Drosophila melanogaster: one gene and its partners. The protein of the gene in region 2 interacts with the protein of the main gene of each other region in a pairwise test. Each region holds a gene or a part of one and is shown on either strand. Other genes may lie near its edges. The genes, in order: CG32756, CG15124, CG17648 and Rpt6R.

What was found.
Region 1: the proteins of CG15124 (region 2) and CG32756 interact in a two-hybrid assay, tested with the Drosophila melanogaster proteins (one large-scale study listed by BioGRID).
Region 3: the proteins of CG15124 (region 2) and CG17648 interact in a two-hybrid assay, tested with the Drosophila melanogaster proteins (one large-scale study listed by BioGRID).
Region 4: the proteins of CG15124 (region 2) and Rpt6R interact in a two-hybrid assay, tested with the Drosophila melanogaster proteins (one large-scale study listed by BioGRID).

What each region holds. Positions count from the first base shown.
Region 1 is NC_004354.4:5,942,955-5,950,144, reverse strand, and holds CG32756 (uncharacterized protein), read right to left. Parts: upstream 4,464-7,190; 5' UTR 4,385-4,463; coding exon 4,226-4,384; intron 4,165-4,225; coding exon 3,979-4,164; intron 3,913-3,978; coding exon 3,774-3,912; intron 3,687-3,773; coding exon 3,452-3,686; intron 3,391-3,451; coding exon 2,730-3,390; 3' UTR 1,897-2,729; coding exon of another isoform or gene 1,833-1,896; 3' UTR 1,792-1,832; downstream 1-1,791. Other genes in the region: CG6041 (uncharacterized protein), read right to left, coding at 30-416, 515-794, 860-1,055, 1,833-1,896; CG12728 (uncharacterized protein), read right to left, coding at 5,758-6,472, 6,534-6,768, 6,852-6,990, 7,057-7,190.
Region 2 is NT_033778.4:19,639,706-19,644,987, forward strand, and holds CG15124 (uncharacterized protein), read left to right. Parts: upstream 1-3,241; 5' UTR 3,242-3,332; coding exon 3,333-3,908; 3' UTR 3,909-3,993; downstream 3,994-5,282.
Region 3 is NT_033779.5:1,749,513-1,754,201, reverse strand, and holds CG17648 (uncharacterized protein), read right to left. Parts: upstream 1,895-4,689; 5' UTR 1,820-1,894; coding exon 1,433-1,819; 3' UTR 1,354-1,432; downstream 1-1,353. Other genes in the region: CG17712 (uncharacterized protein), read left to right, coding at 2,177-3,331; CG17646 (uncharacterized protein), read right to left, coding at 4,116-4,460, 4,526-4,684.
Region 4 is NT_033777.3:30,580,741-30,586,808, reverse strand, and holds Rpt6R (regulatory particle triple-A ATPase 6-related), read left to right. Parts: upstream 1-3,111; 5' UTR 3,112-3,285; coding exon 3,286-3,433; intron 3,434-3,488; coding exon 3,489-4,540; 3' UTR 4,541-4,611; downstream 4,612-6,068. Other genes in the region: CG9717 (uncharacterized protein), read left to right, coding at 1-872, 1,218-1,520, 1,589-1,734, 1,926-2,261; CG9702 (uncharacterized protein), read right to left, coding at 4,747-5,321, 5,380-6,068.

The DNA of each region.
Region 1 (7,190 bases), on a different chromosome or scaffold from region 2:
TATTTGGCGGACCTATGCGATGACTAGATTCAGAGTTCCAAGAGGAAGGCCACAAGGAGTGGAAGAATGCCCAGGTAGGACCAACTCGATCCCTGCCGCACTCCTCCATTATGATAGATGGTATAGTTGAGGGAGCTATTCTTTTGAACAATCCAATCGTAATAGTACGACACATTTGTGTAGACACCCGGATAACCAGGTGCTGCGCATCCAGCGCCGTACGAAACGATTCCGGCCAACATTCCGTTGCAGCTCATGGGTCCGCCGGAGTCGCCCTGGCAGGCGTCCACTCCGCCACTCAAATAGCCGGCGCACACCTGGGAAACCGGAATCGAATTGTATGAAATGCGACAGGTTGTATACGACACTATGGGCACCGTCGCGGCCTGCAGAGTATTACTACTAAATGTTCCGTTCTGAAAGTTTATAGAGATTTTATCAGATATATAAGTTTATCAGTAAATACTTGTGGTATAGAATTCCATCTGACAGTGGAAAACATTTGTAGACTCACCTGCTGGAGCAGACCCCATCCGGAGATCAGGCAATCGGTGTTTGTGGCCACAAGTTGGCTGTTCAACGCCAGGGCCGTTACAGTTGGCCAATTCCAGGGTATATATCCATTGATGAACATCAGGGCAATGTCGTTGGTCAACGCGTCCGGATTATAATTCTCGTGCGTAATTAGCTGCTGCAGGTAGTACATCAAAGTGCGATCGGTGGAGCTCGTCAGGTAGGTGCTGCCCATGACCAGGACAAATTCGCCAGCAGTTCGGTACTTCTTCTTGTCGGTGCTGGAAATCGGAATCTATTAGCATATGAAAATTGTGATGAAAGAGGTACTAGGATCAGTACGCACATGTAACAGCAGTGGGCGGCGGTGGCCACCAAACGTTGGGAAATGACCACCCCACCGCATAGGTGACCAGATCCATAGCTCTTCTTGTCGTTGGCGGTGAGGCGAATGGACACCTGGTACGATACCTGTTCTATGGACGCATCATAGCCGCCCACGATCTTCGGCTCTATCTTTCCAGCCGTTTCGCTTGAAAGACCTGAAATAGATATAGCCAAATAGGTATTTAATGTACGATTAAATATCGGTCTGATGGCCATGATAAACATCAATTGACATTGATTAACCTTACTGACTCGTCAACTACCTATAATAAATATGTTTATCTTGGGCGATGAGATAGCCTAGCATTGTTGTCTTAACAAAAAAGTACTTTAAAAGTTTATGGTGAGCGGTTCATAACGCTTCGGCGGTATGGAAAAACAAGACAATCTAATCGAACGTAAAGTGATTGCCACTCCTTTTGAAATTGGATAATTCCGAAAATTAGTCAGTGTCATAGAAAAAAATGTTCTTTTGTTCTACAATAATGGCGATGGAAATATCCAGTAAATCGAAAAAGGTAATTACCATAACCATATACCAATTTGGCATATTTATAATGCTGTTTTGAACATTTTGAAACTTAATTTTTTTTTAAATCCGAAAGCAGTTGAATTTGACCACTTATTGATTGTTTCTTTTACACATTGGAATATGATATGTTTCTTTTATCTTGGGTAATAACCAAACACTTTTGCAAACCATTTATCACAACAAAAAGCAAAACAAAAATGTGAGCAAATTGATAACTTCTGTGTGTGAAGTGTTGGGGTTTACCCAACTTGAATAGTTTTAGGCTTCGATTTTCACATAACTTTTAACGAAACGACCATAATTCGTTTACTGGTTCGTTCTGTTGAGGTAAATACAATCTATACTTTCGTATCACTATTCGGCTGTAATTTGGATTGATTGCGATCAAACTGTGACTCACTTTCGCCGGAGGCCAGTGCTCCTAGAAATAGCGCTATGGCCAGTATGGCCCAGACTTTAGCCATCTCTCTTGAGTAACTTGGCAGTATGGGATTTCGAAATGATACAGGTGACTGACTATCGACCGAATTTCTTGAATAGAGCCACCGCAATGAGCCATCCCGACACATGGCCAGTTGATATTATTTGTGGTTTGCCTTTAGCTTATCTTATCGCCAAATGTGCGTAAATTGAATGTTGCCAAAGCCCCAAAGCTCCACATTGACAACAGCTCGATGGCTCGAATCGGCTGCCATAAAAGTAAACAAATGGCAAATCAAAGCAAAATTCGTTTTTGATTTCAATGGCACCAAAGGGAATGGATTTGGTAACGCCAGAACACCACAGTAACTGGTTGATTGGCTGGGATTAGACAAACTTTAAAGGTTATTTATTCTAATTGTAAATGGGGTGTCTTGTTTTGTTTTATTCAATTTTATTAGTAATTACGCCAAAAAAATATTTAACAAAAAACATTTAGCATAAAATGCATTGATCAGGAGGCTATAACCGTTGGAAAGCCGTGACTAATCGGACGCATTTTAATATCAGTCGATATGTTCCATAGAGATAGGAGTTAGTTGCTGCTTGTATGCAGTAGAATTCAACTTGTTTGTGTACTGAGGGTGTTTTGGTAAGATGTCGTTTTAAAATCTACAACACTATACATTGTTTTGTTTCATTTGATTGCTGTTCGATGGACTTAGGTACGAATACCTAATCAACAAATGGAATCATGTCTTTTATCCTTGTATCACTGAGGATTTGTTTTTATCTCAAAAAAAAAAAAAAAAAAAAACGTATGTACTAAGGCTAAGGTTTTGCTTGTAGCACCATTTAGACTGAGATCGTTTCCAAATTATTTTTTCTCTAGATTATTGATCGCTTCTGCGACGCGACCAGTTGAGTAAATCAGTGCGGCTTTGATCTCTTCCAGCTCAATTTGATGAATTACATCCAAATTCCCCTCGGATATTCCGACTTCGGGTTCTTGAGTGAATGCCGGGGGGTAATCGTAAAAATCATTAATAGAATCCAAAGCGTTCGATGCCTCCCTAGTGACCTCCTCATCATCAGAAGAAGAATTCTCATCATTAAAAGAAGCATCCTCATATTTAGAGGCATCATCATCTTTAGAAGAAGCATCCTCATCTTTAGAAGAAGCATCCTCATATTTAGAAGAAGTATACGCATCTTTAGAAGAAGCATCCTCATCTTCAGAAGAAGCATACTGTTCCTGAGATGCAAGTTCATATACACCATTTCCGACGGTTGGATTAAATTTGGTTAGTTGTCGGCCAGACCATCCTTGGGAAAGCCCCGAAGATGTGGATGACTCTTCGTCATCATCAGTGAGATCATTCTTGGTGTCCATTGGCGCTAGCTCTACTTTTAAGATTACATTTACGTTTGTCTCTTGGGAACTCTGCGAGCTTTTGTACTCGACAAGCGGATTGGAGCGGCGCTGCATTACCTTGCGCTCCATATGATTGGTATTGATTTCAAGAGCCTTGCGCTTCCTGCAATTGCGAAAACATATCTTATTAATCGGTAAATGTGAACACATTGTACCAATCCCACCTAATGCGAGGAGCTTCTTTTGGGCTTGATGCCTTCGAAGAAGCAAAGTAGCCGTTTGACGAAGAATAGGGCGCGACATCCCGTGCCCATGGCGAAGAAAGCGATGTCCAATTAGGCGATGGCTTATCAGCAAAAAAAGTACTCTGCGCCTTCTGGTAGGCAGCGGAACAGTCCAGCAATTGCTTGTGCTCATTCATAAAAGCCTCGAGATCAAAGGGCTGGGTTTCCACGGTCACTAAAGAAGGCATAAGGTTTTGCGATTACTAACTAAGCGAATGGAATGCACAAGAACTTTCGATTTGCAAACTTGTTCTTAACTAACCTCTGCGCAGCTGGCATCCCTCGGTGCGATACTGGTTCAGCTCCTTGTCCTTGGCATGGATAATCCCTAGCAGAAGGGGTATCTGAGCCCGTAGTCCCAAAGCCGTGGACATTGTGTTCAAGAACATTTGGCTATACAACTTTGGGAATAATGGCACTAATTATTATAGTTCTTGGAACTGATTCTGCTAAAGTCAGTTACTGACCTGTGCGGCATCCATGGGTCTCAGGTGCCATTCCCACTTGAGGAAAACTTTGAAATTCGCCATGGCATACTTCAGTTTCAGGACGTTCAATGGGTGCTGGTAATCCTGTTCGACATGCAATGGATCCTTGTTGAGCAGGACCTGGCGCACCAATTCCTCGGGAAACTTCACACGCGCGTTGAGCGTCTGGTCGAAAAAACGTGTTGCACTCACACTATTTCACCACATGAAAATGCGGAAAACTTACTTTCAAACGCTGCTGGTAATCGCGTTTCATCAAAGTCTCGGAGTAAGTCCACTTCTCGCGAGGACGGAAAACGTGAATAGTTAGGGTTTCATCATGCTGCCCCTCAGTGCAGGCGAACAGGTGCTGCAAGCCATTTATATTCACTACTTTCAATAGCATTTTGAAGTTACGTTTAGAAGGATCAGAAATCAAAGGAAAGAAACATCACTGACGCACGCCGTAGAGATGAAAAAGAATCGATAGTACCGTCTAGGTATCGAATTCTTACCAATCTATCGATTGTTCTTTGGCGGTAACGATGGTGATGTATAAAGATTCCCAACAAAAATGGGATGTAACTCTATACCTATTTGAACTAACCATTAGAAGTATAAATCAAATATACTTTATAACAGCATTATATTATATATTATAATGTTATTATATTATTATAATATGAAACAAGTAGTACCTAAACCTTTATGTGTTCACGCCACATCAACAGAGTCTGAGCGTAGGCTGGACGTATAATAGGTAACCGCAGGGCTTTCCTTAAAACGATCAATGCTGAAATACTTTTTCTGCAGGGAAATGCATGGATAGAATGCCTGTGCGTATTTCAATTAACTAATCCACGCGGTTGTATTTATAGACATGTATTTATATTATATTATATATTATAAGATCCTAAATGTGTAGATCAGTTATAGTTGTGACCCACCGATGGGAACAACACATTATTGTGGGAATTCAGGGTTCAGGAAAGCATTACTCAGGATCCAAAACTAGCCTCGTCTAGCTGTCTTTCATCCTTCTGTTGTAATCCTAGATCAGCCTGAAAAGGCTGAAAGCTTCTAAAGCAAATGGGATAAGGCAAACTTTAAAGATTATTTATTCAAACTGCAAACGTTTCTTTTTTTATCAATTTTATTAGTAATCGTGCCAAAAAATATTTAACATAAAATGCATTGATCAGGAGGTTATAACCGCTGGAAAGCCCTGACTAATCGGTCGATAATTGACCAGAAAATTTCCGGGCAATCATTTTGACAAATTTTAATATTATTCGATATGTTCCATAGAGATAGGAGTTAGTTGCTGCTTCTATGCAATGGAACTCAACTTGTTTGTGTACTGAGGGTGTTTTGGTAAGACGTTTTAAAATCTACAACACTATACATTGTTTTGTTTCATTTGATTGCTGTTCGATGGACTTAGGTACGAATACCTAATCAACAAATGGAATCATGTCTTTATCCTTTTATCACTGAGGATTTGTGTTTGTCAACTTGTTTGTGTACGTGTACTGAGGGTGTTTGATAAGACGTCTTTTTAATATCTACAACACTATACAGTTCTTTGTTTCATTTGATTGCTGTTCGATGGACTTAGGTACGAATACCTAATCAACAAATGGAATCATGTATTTTATCCTTTTATCACTAAGGACTTGTTTTTATCTAAAAAAAAAAAAAAAAAACAAAAAAAAAAAACGTATGTACTAAGTGTGAAGTTTTGCTTGTAGCACCATTTAGAATGAGATCGTTTCCAAATTATTTTTGCGCTAACTTATTGATATAGCTCTGGATCGCTTTTTCGATGCGTTCAGTTGAGTAAATCAGTACGGCTTTGATATCTTCCAGCACAGTTCGAAGAATTAAATCCCAATTCTGATCGGACTTTCCGACTTTGGGTTCTTGGATGAGTTCCCTTGGGGCATCGTAAAACTCTTTTAAAGATTCAACCTTCTTTATGACGAAATTGAAAGCGTTCGATGCCTCCCTAGTGACCTCTTCATATTCAGAAGAAGCATCCTCATCTTTAGAAGAAGTATCCTCATCTTTAGACGGAGCATCCTCATCTTTAGAAGAAGTATTCTCATCTTTGGAAGAAGCATCCTCATCTTTAGAAGAAGCATCCTCATATTTAGAAGAAGTATCCCCATTTTTAGAAGAAGCATCCTCATCTTCAGAAGAAGCATACTGTTCCTGAGATGCAAGTTCATATACACCACTTCCGACGGTTGGATTAAATTTGGTTAGTTTGGCCGACCATCCTTGGGAAAGCCCCGAAGATGTGGATGACTCTTCGTCATCATCAGTGAGATCATTCTTGGTGTCCATTGGCGCTAGCTCTACTTTTAAGATTAAATTTACGTTTGTCTCTTGGGAACTCTGCGAGCTTTTGTACTCGACAAGCGGATTGGAGCGGCGCTGCATTACCTTGCGCTCCATATGATTGGTATTGATTTCAAGAGCCTTGCGCTTCCTGCAATTGCGAAAACATATCTTATTAATCGGTAAATGTGAACACATTGTACCAATCCCACCTAATGCGAGGAGCTTCTTTTGGGCTTGATGCCTTCGAAGAAGCAAAGTAGCCGTTTGACGAAGAATAGGGCGCGACATCCCGTGCCCATGGCGAAGAAAGCGATGTCCAATTAGGCGATGGCTTATCAGCAAAAAAAGTACTCTGCGCCTTCTGGTAGGCAGCGGAACAGTCCAGCAATTGCTTGTGCTTATTCATAAAAGCCTCGAGATCAAAGGGCTTGGTTTCCACAGTCACTAAAGAAGGCATAAGGTTTTGCGATTACTAAGCGAATGGAATGGACAAAAACTTTCGATTTGCAAACTTGCTCTTAACTAACCTTTGCGCAGCTGGCATCCCTCGGTGCGATACTGGTTCAGCTCCTTGTCCTTGGCATGGATAATCCCTAGCAGAAGGGGTATCTGAACCCGTAGTCCCAAAGCCGTGGACATTGTGTTCAAGAACATTTGGCTATACAACTTTGGGAATAATGGCACCAATTATTATAGTTCTTGGAACTGATTCTGCTAAAGTCAGTTACTGACCTGTGCGGCATCCATGGGTCTCAGGTGCCATTCCCACTTGAGGAAAACTTTGAAATTCGCCATGGCATACTTCAGTTTCAGGACGTTCAATGGGTGCTGGTAATCCTGTTCGACATGCAATGGATCCTTGTTGA
Region 2 (5,282 bases):
CCCTGCAGCTCGTTTAAGATTTGGCTATTAAAAACGGCGCCATTGATGCGAATATTTATTGTGGCCTGGCTTTTTCATAATGTTGGATTATCTAGGCACATGTCCTGCCAGGATTTATGAGCCAGGAATAGCACACAAGAGGTTGAGAGCGACGCTGCGGGAGGGTTGGCCAAAACCAAAACCAAGAGTCAGCTTTAAGCCGTAAGGAAATTGAAATCTTAAGCTTTATTGTTTTACTGGCCCCTCGTCTTTGCCATTCAGCTGAGGATCTGTGTGTGCTCGACGCGACGCATGCAAAGTGAAGCAGGAAAGTGAATAAAACTGCAGCAAAAGCAATTTTCATAAATATTTAATGGATAATGGCGAAAATAAGCGCAAGGAGCAAGACACATCGGCATGATGAGAGGGCAGGGAAATGGCCGTCCGTCTGCTTCTACCCATTCCCACTACCATTTTCCGCACCATCTCCGTTCTCGATGTATTGTTTTGTTTGTGTAGATATATATGTGCCCCTCTCATACAGGCACTTCACCCACCAACCCACCGTATTGATATGTCAGCATAACATATGTGGGCATTTCCCCGAGTGTGTGTTCGGCAATCTCAGCTTTTAGTTTCGGCCCAAGGCCCAGTGATTCTCATTAAAATTACAACACAAATAAAACGAAGAGGGAAGGTGGATGAGTGGTATCGACTTTTTTGCTTACCTTGTGATTTATTGGCTTACAAGAATTGCTTAAAAGTTGATCATTTTTTTTAAATTTTGTCGATTTGTGTTTTATAAACTACAAAAATTAGTTAGGAAAATAAGTGAAATGCCATAATGATTTACAAAATAATTGAAATATTATTTCCGGAAATCGGCATAACCAAAATGTTAGATACTCCTTTTGCCTGCCGATTACAGCGTATGAAAAGCCGGCGAAATGAGGGTAAAATTCACGCGAAATGGAGCAGCCAGCGAACGTGAGAGCCCGTCCATTGTCTTTATCCTGGCGCTTTTCTGCTCTCTGTTGCTCCTCCTGGTCGCTGGAGTCCTTTAAGTGTGCCCATTACAGACGGCAGAAATCATAACAATAAAAGTGTGACGGGACGGAAGGACAGAGGCGGTTGGCGGCTGGCGGATGGGCGACGGGCTGTTTGGGGGCCAGATAGCTCCCCCCACTTAATCGATGATGATGAATAATTGATTCGCTGCGATGCGCCCAAGCATGGAAATGAAAATGTCGGTGCATGCGGGGAGCGGCTTTCTGCTTCTGTTTCTGTTTAAGTTTCGGTTTCAGTGCTTCCCTTTTCGCACGTGTGTGTATGTGTGCCTGTCTGTGTATGTGTGTCGGCGTGTCCTTCTGTGTGTAACGAATGGCAAATTTCAGGAAGCGGAAATGGCAATTGCAAGCGATGGGAAAAGGCAGCAGAAAGACAACGACTGAGGCAAATGTGAAGTTGTGCGCTAAATGAAATGCCAACACAGCAACACGGCCGTGCAAAACGGAAATAGCAAATGCGAATGACGCTGGATCGTTGGACGGTTGGCTGGCTGGATGGCCGAAAAATGGTGTTGGGCGGGGGTCTTGGGATGACAATGGGTGTCCTGGGCAGAATGGGCAGACAGGTGCCAAGGCAGACAATTTGCCGGTATTTAAATTCTATTTTAAGTTCTGTTCAAGCGCGTCAGGAAGCAAACGTAAGGAAATGGTTGACCGTGAATGGTGGACACGTTTCCCACTAATATGGCTGGAAAGCTTAAGGCTTCCTTTTATATATATGATACATATTATTTAAAATATAACCATAGATTTTATAAAATATTATAAATATTTTATTAACACTCATAATATAAATTGCTTAGTTTTGTTTACTCGCCACACTCATTGATGTAACAAAAATGACAAGTAATTTTGAAGTCATTTCATTTTTCATTTGCTTGGGATTAACATTTTTCTTAAAGGACTTTGAGCGTGCATAAAAAATTATCTTTAGCACCATAAAGAACTATATTCACTGCAATTTAAAATGAAAATAAATCTGATCGGGTTAAATGAAAATCGACTCCAAAAGAAAAAATCCTATTTCATCAAGGAATATTCTCTTATTTTTTCTTTTGAATAAAGTTTCCTTTTCCATTTGACTCTTCACCGTCGTTCAGTCAGGGCTTTTTTTCCCCAGGCTACGTGTTTAAAAATATAATCGTATTGAATATTTAAATGCTCGCCAGGGCAAAAGTCGCCAAATACGCTGGCAAAACTGGACGGGAATCAAAATCAAATGCAATGCCTGCGGCTTCGGCGAATGCTGGCTGCCTGTCAGCCTGGCACAAAATTAGATTTAAATATTTTGGCATTTCCCATCAATTTTCATATAATGCAACCCCATCCTTTTCGCTGGGATGCAGGTCCTGTTGCATGGAGGAATGCTGATAGTGAGTGGGATTCGTCTGTGGCAAGTCATTCCAGCCCTACACAAGCGCACACATCGATGTGGATTGAAAGACAGGCGCACACAACCACACATGCTCAATCATTTATGCAGCAATCAGTGCTGACGTCTTTTCCACACGTACGATTACCGGCATAGAGAATCGAGCCCTACTCTCGGTTATGTGGAGCATATTGGGAATCGAAATTGAGTGCGGGTTAACAATGAGGCAGTTGAGATTGCGGCAGCTTCTCTCGAACTTCTGTTGCTCGTGAGTTTCTTGAATTTAAATCAATGGCCCGGGCATCCACTGCGTATGAGTAATATTATACAAGGATGAACAGGTAATTTAATTTAGCTTTTCGGAACAATTTTTTGTTCACAGAATGCAATCAAAACATGTATGAGATAATATACATTTAAACAATCGTTGTCGAATTATTTATTTTATCATGATCCCTACTTTTTTATAAATTGACAATCATTTAAGTAAACAATCCTTTCAGCAAAACAGAAATAACTCCTTTTTCAAGGTGCAACCGTGAAGGACGACTGCACAAAAACTCTATTGGATTATTTGAAGGTTGAAATCAAATTAAGTCAAGTGAATAAATTGACTTTTAGTGCATATAAAAATCGCAAAAAGCGCAAATAAAAATGAAATAAAATTGCGATGGATAAAAAGTTTAAAAGTGAATCCATAGAAATTCATCGTTTGCTGATGACGAAACATGAAAAAAGGAAACTTAAAATTGGTTATATATACGAAATTAACAAGGGAAATTAAACGATCACATAGCAAAGCATTTTTTTGGAAAGTAGTCATTGCATATATTGCTTTCTGAGAAACTTCGTATAAATTTAAATTATTAAAATAAACCGCTAGAAAAATAAGTTAAAATTTGATATCAATTAGAATGGATAACGACAATATGCTCGACTTTACAGACTTAATCAGCTGCAAGGACTTACCGAACATAACTCTGCACAATATCCGTCCCATTTACAGTATAAAGGTTTTCATGTCCGAACCTAAAAACTCCAATGTCTCTATTGCTGAATTAATCAAACGCCAGGAAGTGTCTGCAGAGCAATGTCGCAAGGCACTTAAAGTCATAAAGGACAGACTTCTTCTGAAAATGGCAGCGTTGCAAGAGCTTAAGAAGTATCTGCTGGATTTGCATTCGGAGATCAAAAAGCCCGGTGCAGGGACTCGTTTTGTGACCAATCAGGAGAAAGTTAAATTGCATTTCCTAGACGAGACGGAAATCAGAGAAGTCGAATTGTCTGACGCCGTAGAACGTTGCAATATAAAGCTGAGCTCGCTTTATTGCGAAATCCTGGCTTTGGACAGCGACATGGGCAGTGTCGCCTATTTGGAGAGGGTCGCCCAGATCAACAAAGACTTTATCATGGATTGGCATAAGACTCAGAGGCAGAATAAGACAAGCAACATCCATTGTTCCGGCCAAGGCGTCAAAAAGACTTTTTAATTTGGACTGTTTTAAACTTTACATGTTTCACTCATATGCAATTATTATCGCACTATTCTGGAAAATAAATATTTATCGCGAAAGCAAATACAAAATGTTTTATTACACCTCTCCGAGATTGAATAGTTGAATTTCCAGCAATGAAATTAGCCTTAAGTAATGTGCTCCTCTCTTAAATCCTATCCCTAGGAATCTTTTTTCCCCCTCGACTTTTCCTGCTTCGTGTCCTTCCGTTTCCCTTTTCTCCGTTTACCTGTCACTGACAGCCCGCTGGCCGCTTCATCTTCATTCCCCGTCCATGAATAATCCCTGCGACACTTGCGTTTCATGGCTTTGCATAGTTAGGACCTGTTAAAGGAGGGACCTGGTCCTGGACAGTGTGCTCAGGCATCTCCTCTCTTAGCCAGCGCTTAGCTGGACCTGGGGAGTTGAATCTGTAGCTGCACAGCAAAAAAAATTTTAAAGGTTTCAAAAAGATCTCAAAAAAATGTCCCAAGAGTTTTAAACTCTATATAGAATAGTCTTGAGTTACGTGTCCCGTTCAGGTAGTATTTTTAATACCATTTGCTGGCAAGTTACTAATATTTTCTCTGAGTGTTCAGTTAGCTGGGAACCGGAGCAGGAAGCCAACAACAGGTTGCGTGCCAATGCAGTTTTTCATCGTGAAATGTCGGCGCTGATAGCGATTGTAATTATTATGCTGAACTGCGGGTATGTATGTATGTATGCAAGGGGATTCGCTTTTACGAGAGGCAGAATGGTTCTATTTCAGGTCCTGGCCACTCTTACTTGTTTCCCATTCTTTTTCCGTCTTGTTGCTATCCACTCTCCGACGCATAAACACCGCTAGTTATGCAATAAATAAAATGCAATTGTTGCGTCACAAAAGCTACATAGATGGCAGTGCGTTGGTCAGAAGGGGGGATTGGCTTTTTGGCTCTGGGCTTTTGCCGCCATGTTTGCGAACAACAGCAAGATGGCGCCCCGCATCCGTTATAGCCGAACATCCAATTCCGCGCTCACTTTCGCTGCCTCAGTTGCTGGGCGTCTGCTTCACTTCCGGTTGGAAAAGTTGTTGCATTGTGTGCGTTTTCGTGGAGGTTCCACATCCGCTTTACCAGCTCTCCCAGCTACTCTAGCTTACTTGGCACCGCTTTAATTTGACAAACCATCGCATTTAACGGCCCGGCGTAGTTTATGCTCCTCGAACAGGCAGCGACATCAAGGCGAAAGGTCAAGGAGGTGGCATAAATAATGCAGCGAACAACGAAAACGACAAAGTTGCCAAAGACTTGGACTAACCGGCTGCTGTTGCTGCTGTTTCTGGCCAAAACTCACTTGGCCAGCATAGAAATTGCAGTTTACAGTTGCTAA
Region 3 (4,689 bases), on a different chromosome or scaffold from region 2:
GGCATTTCGGTCTCGTCCTGCCCCTGCATTTAGTATTAATCTGGCTTAAATGTGATTAATGTCTGGTCTGCGGAAAGGTTACCGCCCCATGCCACATGCCACATGCCCCGCGCCCCAGGAGTCCTGCGGTCTGACAAAGTCTGGATAAACTAAGCCCGGATCAGCAAGTGTAATCAATATTGCCATTAACATTCAGAATTCAATTAGAAGCTGTGTCTGTCCGGCCTTGGAGCATTCCCAAGATGGCTCTGATAAATTTTAATTGGTTTAGAGAAAGCTAGTTTGCGGCTGCTACTTAAAGCCATTAAGCTGTTATGTGGCACAGCATAGTGGATATTTAATTGGAGTTATTCGACAGATCCAATTGGTGTGCGATGTTATTTTACGATTAACAGGTGATGAATAACAACTACCTTTAACACCTGCCCCTTCCGACTCAAGAGCTATCTGAAGAGCTAGTCCACCGCCTTGGGTGGGGGTTTCCCTTTAGGGGTCACCCACTTCCATTGCACCTTTGATGGCGCCATAACTTGTGGCAATATCTGGTGCCCCGAGGTCGAAAGCAGCAGCATTCATTAGCTGTTTGCCGGAGCCGCTGGGTTTGCTTTAAATTTAATTGTTTGCCCGCTGCCGCTGTGCACTTTGTGGTTTAATTAAGACGGGATCGAGCGTATATGGTATATGGCATGTGGTGTACATGGATGTGGGTGGGGCAGACAGACGGCAGCTGCCTTAAACCAAATTACACTAATTGGGTTACCATATGACAGGGCAATGCGTCGACTGTGACATTTGTTTGCCATGGCTTGCCAATGCTTGCATTATGTCCGCCCGTCCACATCCTTCGCCCGCACAAACACAGCCCCCCACACGAATGTGTGGTGTACACTGAGAGAAAAAGCTCACTCAGTACGCAAATTCTTCAGAAGGGCTACCTTCCAAAAGTAAAGCCAAACTGGAGTCTCTAATCCCGTAATATTGATAGTTGTTCGGAAGTCTGAACCCCTAATTGTGCTCAGTGCATCATAAGCCCAGTCGTCAGTAAGTCCTTCACTCCACCGCCGTTTGCACTCGCAGTTGCCAGCTTGTAATAAGCTGCAGAATCATTTTCCGCATGCCGGCTGCTTTGACAGCTGCAATACCGCACATGGCTCAAAGGGTCGAAAAGCGGGCCACATGTGGTGGTATATGGTGGAAAAGGGGGAAAACGGGGCAACGGGCAAAGGATATGGGGAGTTGGAGACCGCACTCGAAATGGAAGCCAAAGGACTCTGGCTTAGTTAATTGAGTGGACAGCAAGGAGGTCTTTAAACTGAGATTGGCACGGATAAGAAGATAAGCATTATAGACTTTGTTGGCCTAATCTCACAGGTTCATTTGATTCTAAGCAGAGAAAAAAGAAAGTATTTTTTAAAAATAGTTTTAGAAACTTCTAGGCTTCGACGGCGGGTTCCATGGACAAGGACCTGCTGCTCACACTCCCGGCGGGGGTCATGATGTCCTCCAGCATTTGGTTGAGCGACTCGGAGCCCAGAGCGTACTCCTGCTTATTGGCACTTCGGTTGTGCATGGCGTCCAAGTAGACGCCACTCGCATTGCGCTCGCTGCTCAGAATGTGCTGCATGACATTGCTGATCTGTTCGGAGCCCAGGATCTTCGGTTGCTCGGTGGCCAGTCCATCGATGACCGCAGTTTCCAGCTGGCTTGAAATTTTGGCCGGCGACTCCTCCTCGTTGGCAGTTTTTAGAAAACGAATCGCCTGTGCAGAGGCCAAGGCTCCGGCCGTAAAAGAGGTCAGCAACTGAGCAATCGAAATCATTTGAAATTTGATATTTTTAAATGATTCGAAAGCGAATTTAGATCATGCTTTGAAAGTTCGTTACGATTGCTATGAATTGAGTTTAAATATTTCAAGGCTACATAAATTAGTAATTAACTCAATAGCCACCACTGATTTGGCTTACAAACTCTTTTGTTTAATATTATTTTTAAAAGCTTTAAATATTTTAAATAGATTTAGCTAGAAAATAGCTGACAGACACATATCGATATATCGCTGCGATAGCCACAGCTGTTCACGCCCGCAGTTTAAGCGATGTGGCAGCCCTGGTCGGCCACCAAAAAATAAACATTGGAATTTTCCCTTAACTTTATAGAGTTTTATCCAATTTGAGCGATGCTGCCGGGCGTTGGAGTGTTCGGAACGGGAGAGATAGCCAATGTGCTGGTGCCGCTGCTGCGGGAGAAAGGATTCGAGGTGCGGGCCATTTGGGGCAGGACCCTGAAAGAGGCGAAAGAGACTGCGACCACGCAGAATGTACAATTCCATACGAACGTAATCGACGATGTCCTGCTGCGGAAGGATGTGGATCTGGTGTTCATCGTGTGCCAGCCCTTTCTGCACGCGGAGATCTCGGTGAAGGCCTTGGGCATCGGGAAGCATGTGGTGTGCGACAAGCCAGCAGGATTGCACCAGCAGGACGCACTCAAAATGGTTCGGGCTTCTCAGTACTATCCCACTCTGATTTCCCTGGTCAATCACCCGCTGAGGTTCCTGCCCGCCTTTACACATATGCGTCGTTGTCTGCAGGAGGAGCTAATTGGCTCTATTGGCGACGTGGTACTCATGGATGTGCGCGTCCAGATGGGAACGCTCTTTCCCGAGAAGTACAACTGGATGTGCGATGCGCAAATGGGCGGCGGTGCCCTGAATCTCGTGGGATCCGTGGTGGACTTGGTCACCTTTCTGCTGCAACAGCAGGCAATAAGAGTGCATGGAGTCCTACGATCCTACACGAAAACCACACCGGCCATCAATGGCATTCGACAAATTACGGCTCCGGATTTCTGCAACTTCCAAATGGAACTGGCCAGTGGAACGCTGGTCACAGTGGCCCTGCACAGTCACACTGTGCCAGCAAAAGCCTTCTCGCAGGAAGTGCTCATCTATGGCAGCAAAGGACACCTGGTGGTCCGCGGCGGCGACCTATTTGTCCTCAAGGAGGGCCAACCCAAAGAGGAAGCTGTTTACGTGGATGTCCAGGATTTGCACTTCGCCACCAACAACTCTTTGCTACCACGACCATATATCAAAGGACTCTGCAAGATGGTGGGCGCTCTGAAGGAAGCCTTCGGCAGCAAGGAGTCCTCCTGGGTTAAGGCTCCAGTTTCCACAGCGGCCACCTTTGAGGACGGCCTCTACGTTCAGGCTGTGGTTGAGGCCATCCGGAAATCGAACGAGACCAGGCAGTGGCAAAGGGTTCAGCTGTCCACCGACAGCCCCCTGAATCACGACCAGATAATTCGATATGCACGCATGTCCACAATGTGAGGGAGTCTGTATTACATAGGTGCAATATATGAATGATTCCACTATATATTTTTTATATAATGTACGTGTTTAGTCTTTAAGCGTTCAAAAGATTCAGGCTTTCCAGCCGGCGTCATCTTCATCAATGTATTTAACTTATTTGTACGGCATCAGCATTTTGCAACTAATAAAATTGATTTGTTAGACATGAGACTTTATATTTATATTAGCTAGAAAACATTTCATGATAGTTAATAGCAAGGAACGAGAAGAAGTCATCAAATGTACCAAACGTTTTATTTTAAAAACAAAATTGTCTACACAAACTAAACGAAATATGTCATATACAAGTAATTCGAACTTAGGGCTAAAACTAAAGCTAATCACTAAAGAGACGAAACAAATTATTGATCACAAAAGTATCTTTGTAGCGGACCTTATAGAAGTAGATGAATATTCAAGACTTGGCATAGCTGGAGTCTTCGCGGAGATCCAGCTCAGTGGATGAAGTATTGTGTTTACAGGGCAAGATGGAAACGGGGTTATAGAGATTGTGTTGCAGTTGATCTTCCTTTTTGGTATATCAGCACTTAAACTGGATTTAAGCTACCCTAAAGCCTTCTTGCGTACAATATTTCAGAGAATATTTAAATAAATACCTAAGCTAACATCGAATCGGTCGATCAATTGTAAAAACACAAAAAGGGTAGTTTCGAATTTGGAACTTAAAACGAGGAGAGATGGAAAGACACCCGACTATGTACAAAAGGATTGCAGCCATGGACCAAACATTGGCCATGGTATCTTATCGCTTGTTGAGCTTGTGCCACAGCGTGATGAGGGTCAGCACATGCATGACTCCAATCACGATGCCCATGAGGATCAGGCAGTCGGACATGTGCACATCCGATATCATCATGTACTTGAGAAAGACCTTCGGGCTGCGGAAGTGGCAATACATCGCAGTCTCGGGGCACTCCAGAAAGGGTCGATCCATGCCGTAAATGGCGTTCAACGCCCCGTGGAATCCGGCCCGGAAGTAACTCAGGTGCCACATCCATCGGAAGAGGGGCGTGATGTCGATGTAGCGCGTGCAGAATCCAAAAACGGAGAACATCACCGCCAGAATGGGTCCCAGAAACACGGCAAGCTGAGGCGGAAAGATTAGTTATTACCAATTCGATTCTCAGTTAGCTGGTCGAGTGTTGAACCCACCTTGGTTGGCAACGTGGCTCCCACGAAGAAGCCCCAGGCTTGGGCACTCAAAGAGGCCATTATGCCCAGCAGCATGAAGTAGTAGATCCGGAATGAGTCCGTGGCATCGTTTCCAGTCAGATGCACGCTGATGATAATGTACATGGCGGTGCAGAGGCTCTGAA
Region 4 (6,068 bases), on a different chromosome or scaffold from region 2:
TTTCGGTGACATAGTGGCGGGCATTTCGGTGGCCCTGACGGTGATACCCCAGGCCCTGGCCTATGCCGGAATAGCAGGACTGGATCTGCAGTACGGCCTGTACGCCTGCTTCCTGGGCTGCTTCATATACATATTTATTGGGTCCAGTAAGGATGTGCCTATTGGACCTACGGCCATATCAGCACTGCTGTCCTTTCAAATCGCTGGAGGCAGTTGGCAGATAGCCACCTTGCTAACCTTCCTCACAGGTCTCATTGAGATCCTGATGGGAGTTTTCCGGCTGGGATTTCTCATCGATTTCGTTTCTGGTCCCGTGGGAGCGGGATTCACGAGTGCCGTGTCCTTGATCATCTTCAGCTCCCAGATGAAGGACTTCTTGGGCATCAAAACAAGTGGCAACACCTTCCTGCAAGTGTGGATTAGCATTGTGAACGATATACACAACATCAGCTGGCCGGACTTCATCTTGGGAATCGTCTGCATTACTCTGCTCCTGAGCCTGAGAGCCCTGGCCAGTTGTACCCTGGGTCCCAAGGAGGGAAAAACCACAGCGCAAAAGCTTCTGACCGGCATTTTCTGGACCATCGGAACTGCCCGCAATGCCCTGCTGGTCTGTGGAACTGCTGGCCTGGGTTACTGGTTGTTTGTCAACGGCAAGGAGAATCTCGTGAAGACAGTTGGCTTTGTGCCCAAGGGATTGCCCTCCTTTCAGCCACCACCCTTCCACATGGATGCCGTTGTCAACGAAACCACAGGAGAAGTCCTTCAGGAGGCCCAGAGCTTCTGGGACATGGTCAGCACCCTGGGATCTGGGCTCATTGTGGTTCCATTGATTGCTCTTCTGGAAACTATGGCCGTTGTTCAGGCTTTCGGTGAGTTGTCCGCTTATTTGATATCGTCATTTTCATGAGTTGGATCTCGTTCTTCCCCAACGAGTTCAAGAATCTTCAAAATTCAAGTAGGATATGAATCATCAGTAATTGGTTTATATTTAAAGCTAATTTTAAATCGGATTGACGAAAGCAACGAGTTTTTGTTTATAACCCTTATACCCTTATAACCCTTGTTGTCCCAAATTAGTGTCAACTTTTGAATGACACGTGCAAATATTAAAATAGGTCAGTCGCTTTATTCCTTGGGGAAGAACATATTGTTTTGCTTTCGAATTTCATTTGACTGGATTGTAATATTTTCCCCGTTTGGTTTTTTCCTTTTAGCTGATGGCAAACCCACAGATGCCACGCAGGAGCTGATAGCCTCTGGAGTGTGCAACGTGGCCAACTCCTTTGTCCAGGGTCTTCGGAGCAATGGCGGCATCGCCAGGGGAGCCATCTTAAATGCCAGTGGAGTGAGGACCCAGCTGTCCAATCTCTACACCAGCGTGATAGTGATTATTGCCCTGTTGTACCTCACGCCCTGCTTTTACTACATTCCTAAGGCGGCTCTGGCCTCCATTATTATTGCGGCGGTTATTTTCATGGTCCAGTACCGAGTGATCAAGCCCATGTGGCACAGTAAAAGTGAGTTGAAAATAAATAAACCACACTCACATGTTTGTTACCATACGTGTGTATTTCTCCTGCCACAGAAACCGATCTCATTCCCGGCCTGGGTGCCTTTTTCGCCTGTCTGGTTCTGCCCCTGCAACTGGGCATCCTCGTGGGCATCGGCATCAATGTGGTCTTCATCCTCTACCAGGCAGCCCGGCCAAAGTTGCGCATCGAAACGCTGGCGGTGAGTCATTCCATCCGAAGTATCTCAATCTATACCTAGAATAGCTTCAGTGGCTGAAAGTATGCTACAGATTCTTAAGATTCGGATGGCATTTTTATCTCATGTTCATCTTACTGTAGGAATTAATATACTGCTAGTTGATATGCCATAGATGATTCCTATGATATTAATAAGCCGACCTATCTTTATAGACAACTACTGGTCTGAAATACCTAATGCTAACTCCCGATCGCTGTCTGATCTTCCCCTCGATGGAGTTTGTGCGCAAGGTGATCAACAAGCAGGGTCAGAAGTCCACACTGCCGGTGGTCATCGATTGCACCCACATCTATGGAGCGGACTTCACGGCCGCCAAGGTGATATCCACCATGGTGATGGACTTTAAGCTGCGGGAGCAGCCGCTGTTCTTCTACAACCTGCAGCCGCGAGTGGCGCAGGTCTTCGAGGGTCTGAACAAGGATCTGGTGGTCATATACGATATTAACACCCTGCACGCCAAGCTGGCGGAGAAGTCGCCCCCGATCTGAGGGATCCAAAGAAGTCCGAAGGGGGAACAACGCTGCAACCTCGTTATGCGATAGTCTTAGCCCAAGTCTAGTTCGTAGCTTAGTCTCTGTCCTAGACCTAGTACTAGCTTAGTCTTGCCACCGAGGCCAGCGACTAAATCTAGATGTGGGCTGCCCACGCTCATCGCCTTAGTTGAAGGTACCATTACCATTCCACGGCTAGCCCAGCTCACCTTAATTAGCATTTAAGATGTGGCAATCTTCGCAGATATCTGCACAATATTATTTATTTGGCCTCTAACGGCGAAACGCTGTGAATTCCAGAGTCAGGGCTCCTCCCACCCGCGATTTTGCCGCTGAACATAGTATTATTTTCGGGTAGCGAACGGCGAGTTTTAGCATAAGTACTTAAATAAATCAAGTAAATATAAAATAGTTAAGTGGCGTTAAGAGTTTTACTTGATTGGCCAAGAAAGTGGAAATAAAACACTCTCATTAGGTATTATACGTTGTTACCAACTACTGGCTTTATTAAAGATTTATTCCAAGATTGATAGACTTTATATCTAAACAACATCATGATTTCTGGGTGTCTTTAATCTCAAACTATGCTGTGATTTTATTTGGTGCTTCGTGTGGGAAGTAAATTTTTTGGTTCGAAGGCATCAATAACAAGAAAGCATTACTCGAGATAAGATTGAATGAATATGTTTGACACCTATAATAAAATAATATTTACGAAACGTGTGGCAATAATACGACTTATCTTAAAATTTTTAGTCTGTTCAAGAACCCTTAAGTTAAAGTGTGAAATGAAGTTTCCATCCCTAACTTGTCAAAATTTCCCAGCACTGCGTAAAAACTGTCGTCTCATCAGCCGGATTCAGTTCGTTCAAAAAAATAAGCAAAATTATATCAATAGCTCGGGAAGTTGTTGAGCGCTATACAAGGAAAGAAATAACAATTTGCAGTTCAACGTAATAAATTACTAGCTAGCCTTTTTTGAAGTGATTTTTTTTTCCAGAAGAAATATTAATTTTACCAGATGAGCAAAGACGTAGGAATCCCAGAGGGTTCCGAAGGCTTTCATTCATATTATACGCAGAAAATATCAGAGCTTCAGTTCACTGTGAACGAACGCCAAAAGAACTTGCTCCGTTTGCAGGCTCAGAGAAATGAACTCAACCTCAAGGGTAAGGTTCTTAGAATGAATATATCCTTTATAAGATTATCCTGCCTTATCCACAGTTCGCTTGCTGCGCGAGGAGCTGCAGTTGCTCCAGGAGCAGGGGAGCTATATTGCGGAGGTTGTGAAGCCCATGGACAAGAATAAGGTCCTTGTGAAGGTTCATCCCGAGGGCAAGTATGTAGTGGATGTGGACAAGACCATCAATATTAAGGATGTGACACCCAGCAGCAGGGTGGCCCTGCGAAACGAGAGCTACACGCTTCACAAAATTCTGCCCAATAAGGTGGACCCATTAGTATCCCTTATGTTGGTGGAAAAGGTGCCCGACTCCACCTACGAAATGGTGGGTGGCTTGGACAAGCAGATCCAGGAGATCAAGGAGGTGATTGAGCTGCCTGTAAAGCATCCGGAATTATTTGACGCCTTGGGCATTACCCAGCCAAAGGGAGTGCTCCTCTACGGACCGCCTGGAACTGGGAAAACCCTGTTAGCCCGAGCTGTAGCCCATCACACGGAGTGCACTTTTATACGGGTTTCAGGGTCGGAACTGGTTCAGAAATTCATCGGCGAGGGTTCGAGAATGGTAAGGGAGCTTTTTGTGATGGCTAGGGAACACGCTCCATCCATAATATTCATGGACGAGATCGACTCGATTGGTTCCGCTCGACTGGAAACCGGAACGGGGGATTCGGAGGTCCAGCGAACCATGCTGGAGCTTCTGAACCAACTGGACGGCTTCGAGGCTACTAAAAACATTAAGGTGATCATGGCCACCAATCGCATCGATGTCTTGGATCAGGCATTACTGCGTCCTGGTCGAATTGACCGCAAGATCGAGTTTCCGCCACCAAACGAAGAGGCCAGATTGGATATCCTGAAGATACATTCTCGCAAGATGAACCTCACCAGAGGCATCAATCTTCGCAAGATTGCTGAAGAAATGCCGGGGGCTTCTGGTGCTGAAGTCAAGGGTGTTTGCACCGAGGCGGGAATGTATGCTCTGAGGGAAAGACGGGTCCATGTCACCCAGGAGGACTTTGAAATGGCCGTCTCCAAGGTAATGATGAAGGACTCCGAGAAGAACATGTCCATCAGAAAGTTCTGGAAATAGCTTATATAACTAATTTTAAAACATTTGAAAGCTCCATTATCAGACTGAATATAATAGTTGATATAAATAATACAAGTTTTGTAGTATATTCTTGATAGAAAAGGACAGGAGTGTAAAAACAAAGACTTTACTCAAGTGAAACTACTAGATTAATGTTCGTAATGGTATAGATATAACTTAGCTAATTTTATTTGGGCGTTGTAAGACTAACTTCTAGCTAGTGAAAGAGTGCTGGCCATGCTCACGCATTCACTAGTTCCGTTTCCGGACTCGGCGTGGTCGAGTGAGTCCACGGACCTCGAAAGATCCGGCTCGTCGGGCCGGAGTTCCTGGTTGAGGGCATGGGTGTTGTAGCAAAGCACCAGCCTCGTGTTCAATCCCTCGAAGACACTCACTACACTGGGCTTCAAGTTGAAGAATATGATCTTTTGCTGACGCCGGCGGAAGTCGTCCACAATGGAGGATATTACTTTGGCGGCTGTGAAATCCGCAGCATAGATATAGGTGCAATCGATGACCACTGGCAATGTGGATTTGCTGCCCAACTTCAGTACCATATTTCGAACAAACTCCACCGAAGGAAAGATCAGACATCTGTCGGGGGTGATCTTCACGAATCTGATACCTTGTTGGGTTTCCAGTTGCTCCAGCGTGACCTTTGGCCTGGCTGCATAGTACAGGATAAAGAGAAGATTCACACCAATGGCCACCATAATTCCAATTTCCAGGGGCAGTACCAAACAGGTGACGAAGGCCAGGATGCCAGGCACTAGATCGGAACCTGCAACGTTGAAGGTAACTTAGGAATATAAATACTAATCAAGGAAGTCTCAACTCACGTTTGCTGCGCCACATGGGCGTTACGACCTGGTACTGAACCTGGAAGATCACTGCCGATATAATAATCGCTGCCAGCACCGCCTTGGGAATGAAGGCGATGTATTCGGTGAGAAAGTTCAGGGCGAGCACTACGATAACACCGATGTACAGGTTGGACATATTGGTGCGACAGCCACTGGCATTATTCACCGCCGATCGGGCCAATCCTCCATTGCATCGATATCCTGAGAACAAGGAGGTAGCAATGTTGCCGACTCCACAGGCAATCATTTCCTGGGTGATATCTATCTGTTTACCCTTGGCGAAGGCCTTGCAAACCGACATGGTTTCCAGTAGGGCCATTAGGGGAACGATAACTAGTCCATATCCCAAGCTCTGCACCATTTCAGGAAAAGTCTGTCCCTCAACAGCAGGGATCCCAGCTGTTTCGTTGCCGGGCTGCGGTTCGATGGAAAACGGAGGAAGTGAGGGCGTGGGCATTCCCTTGGGAATATTTCCAGTTAGTCTGAAAGGATTCGTTCCATTGGCATCCAGGTACATGGTAACAGCGGTAAACAGAATAACCACTGAGGCATTCCTCGAGGTGGACAGAAACTTGATCACCGTGTTCACTACTCGCTGGAACCCGTTCCTTCTCGATTCGTCCTTTGGACCGATGGTGAACTTTCCGAGACTCCTCATGGCCAGA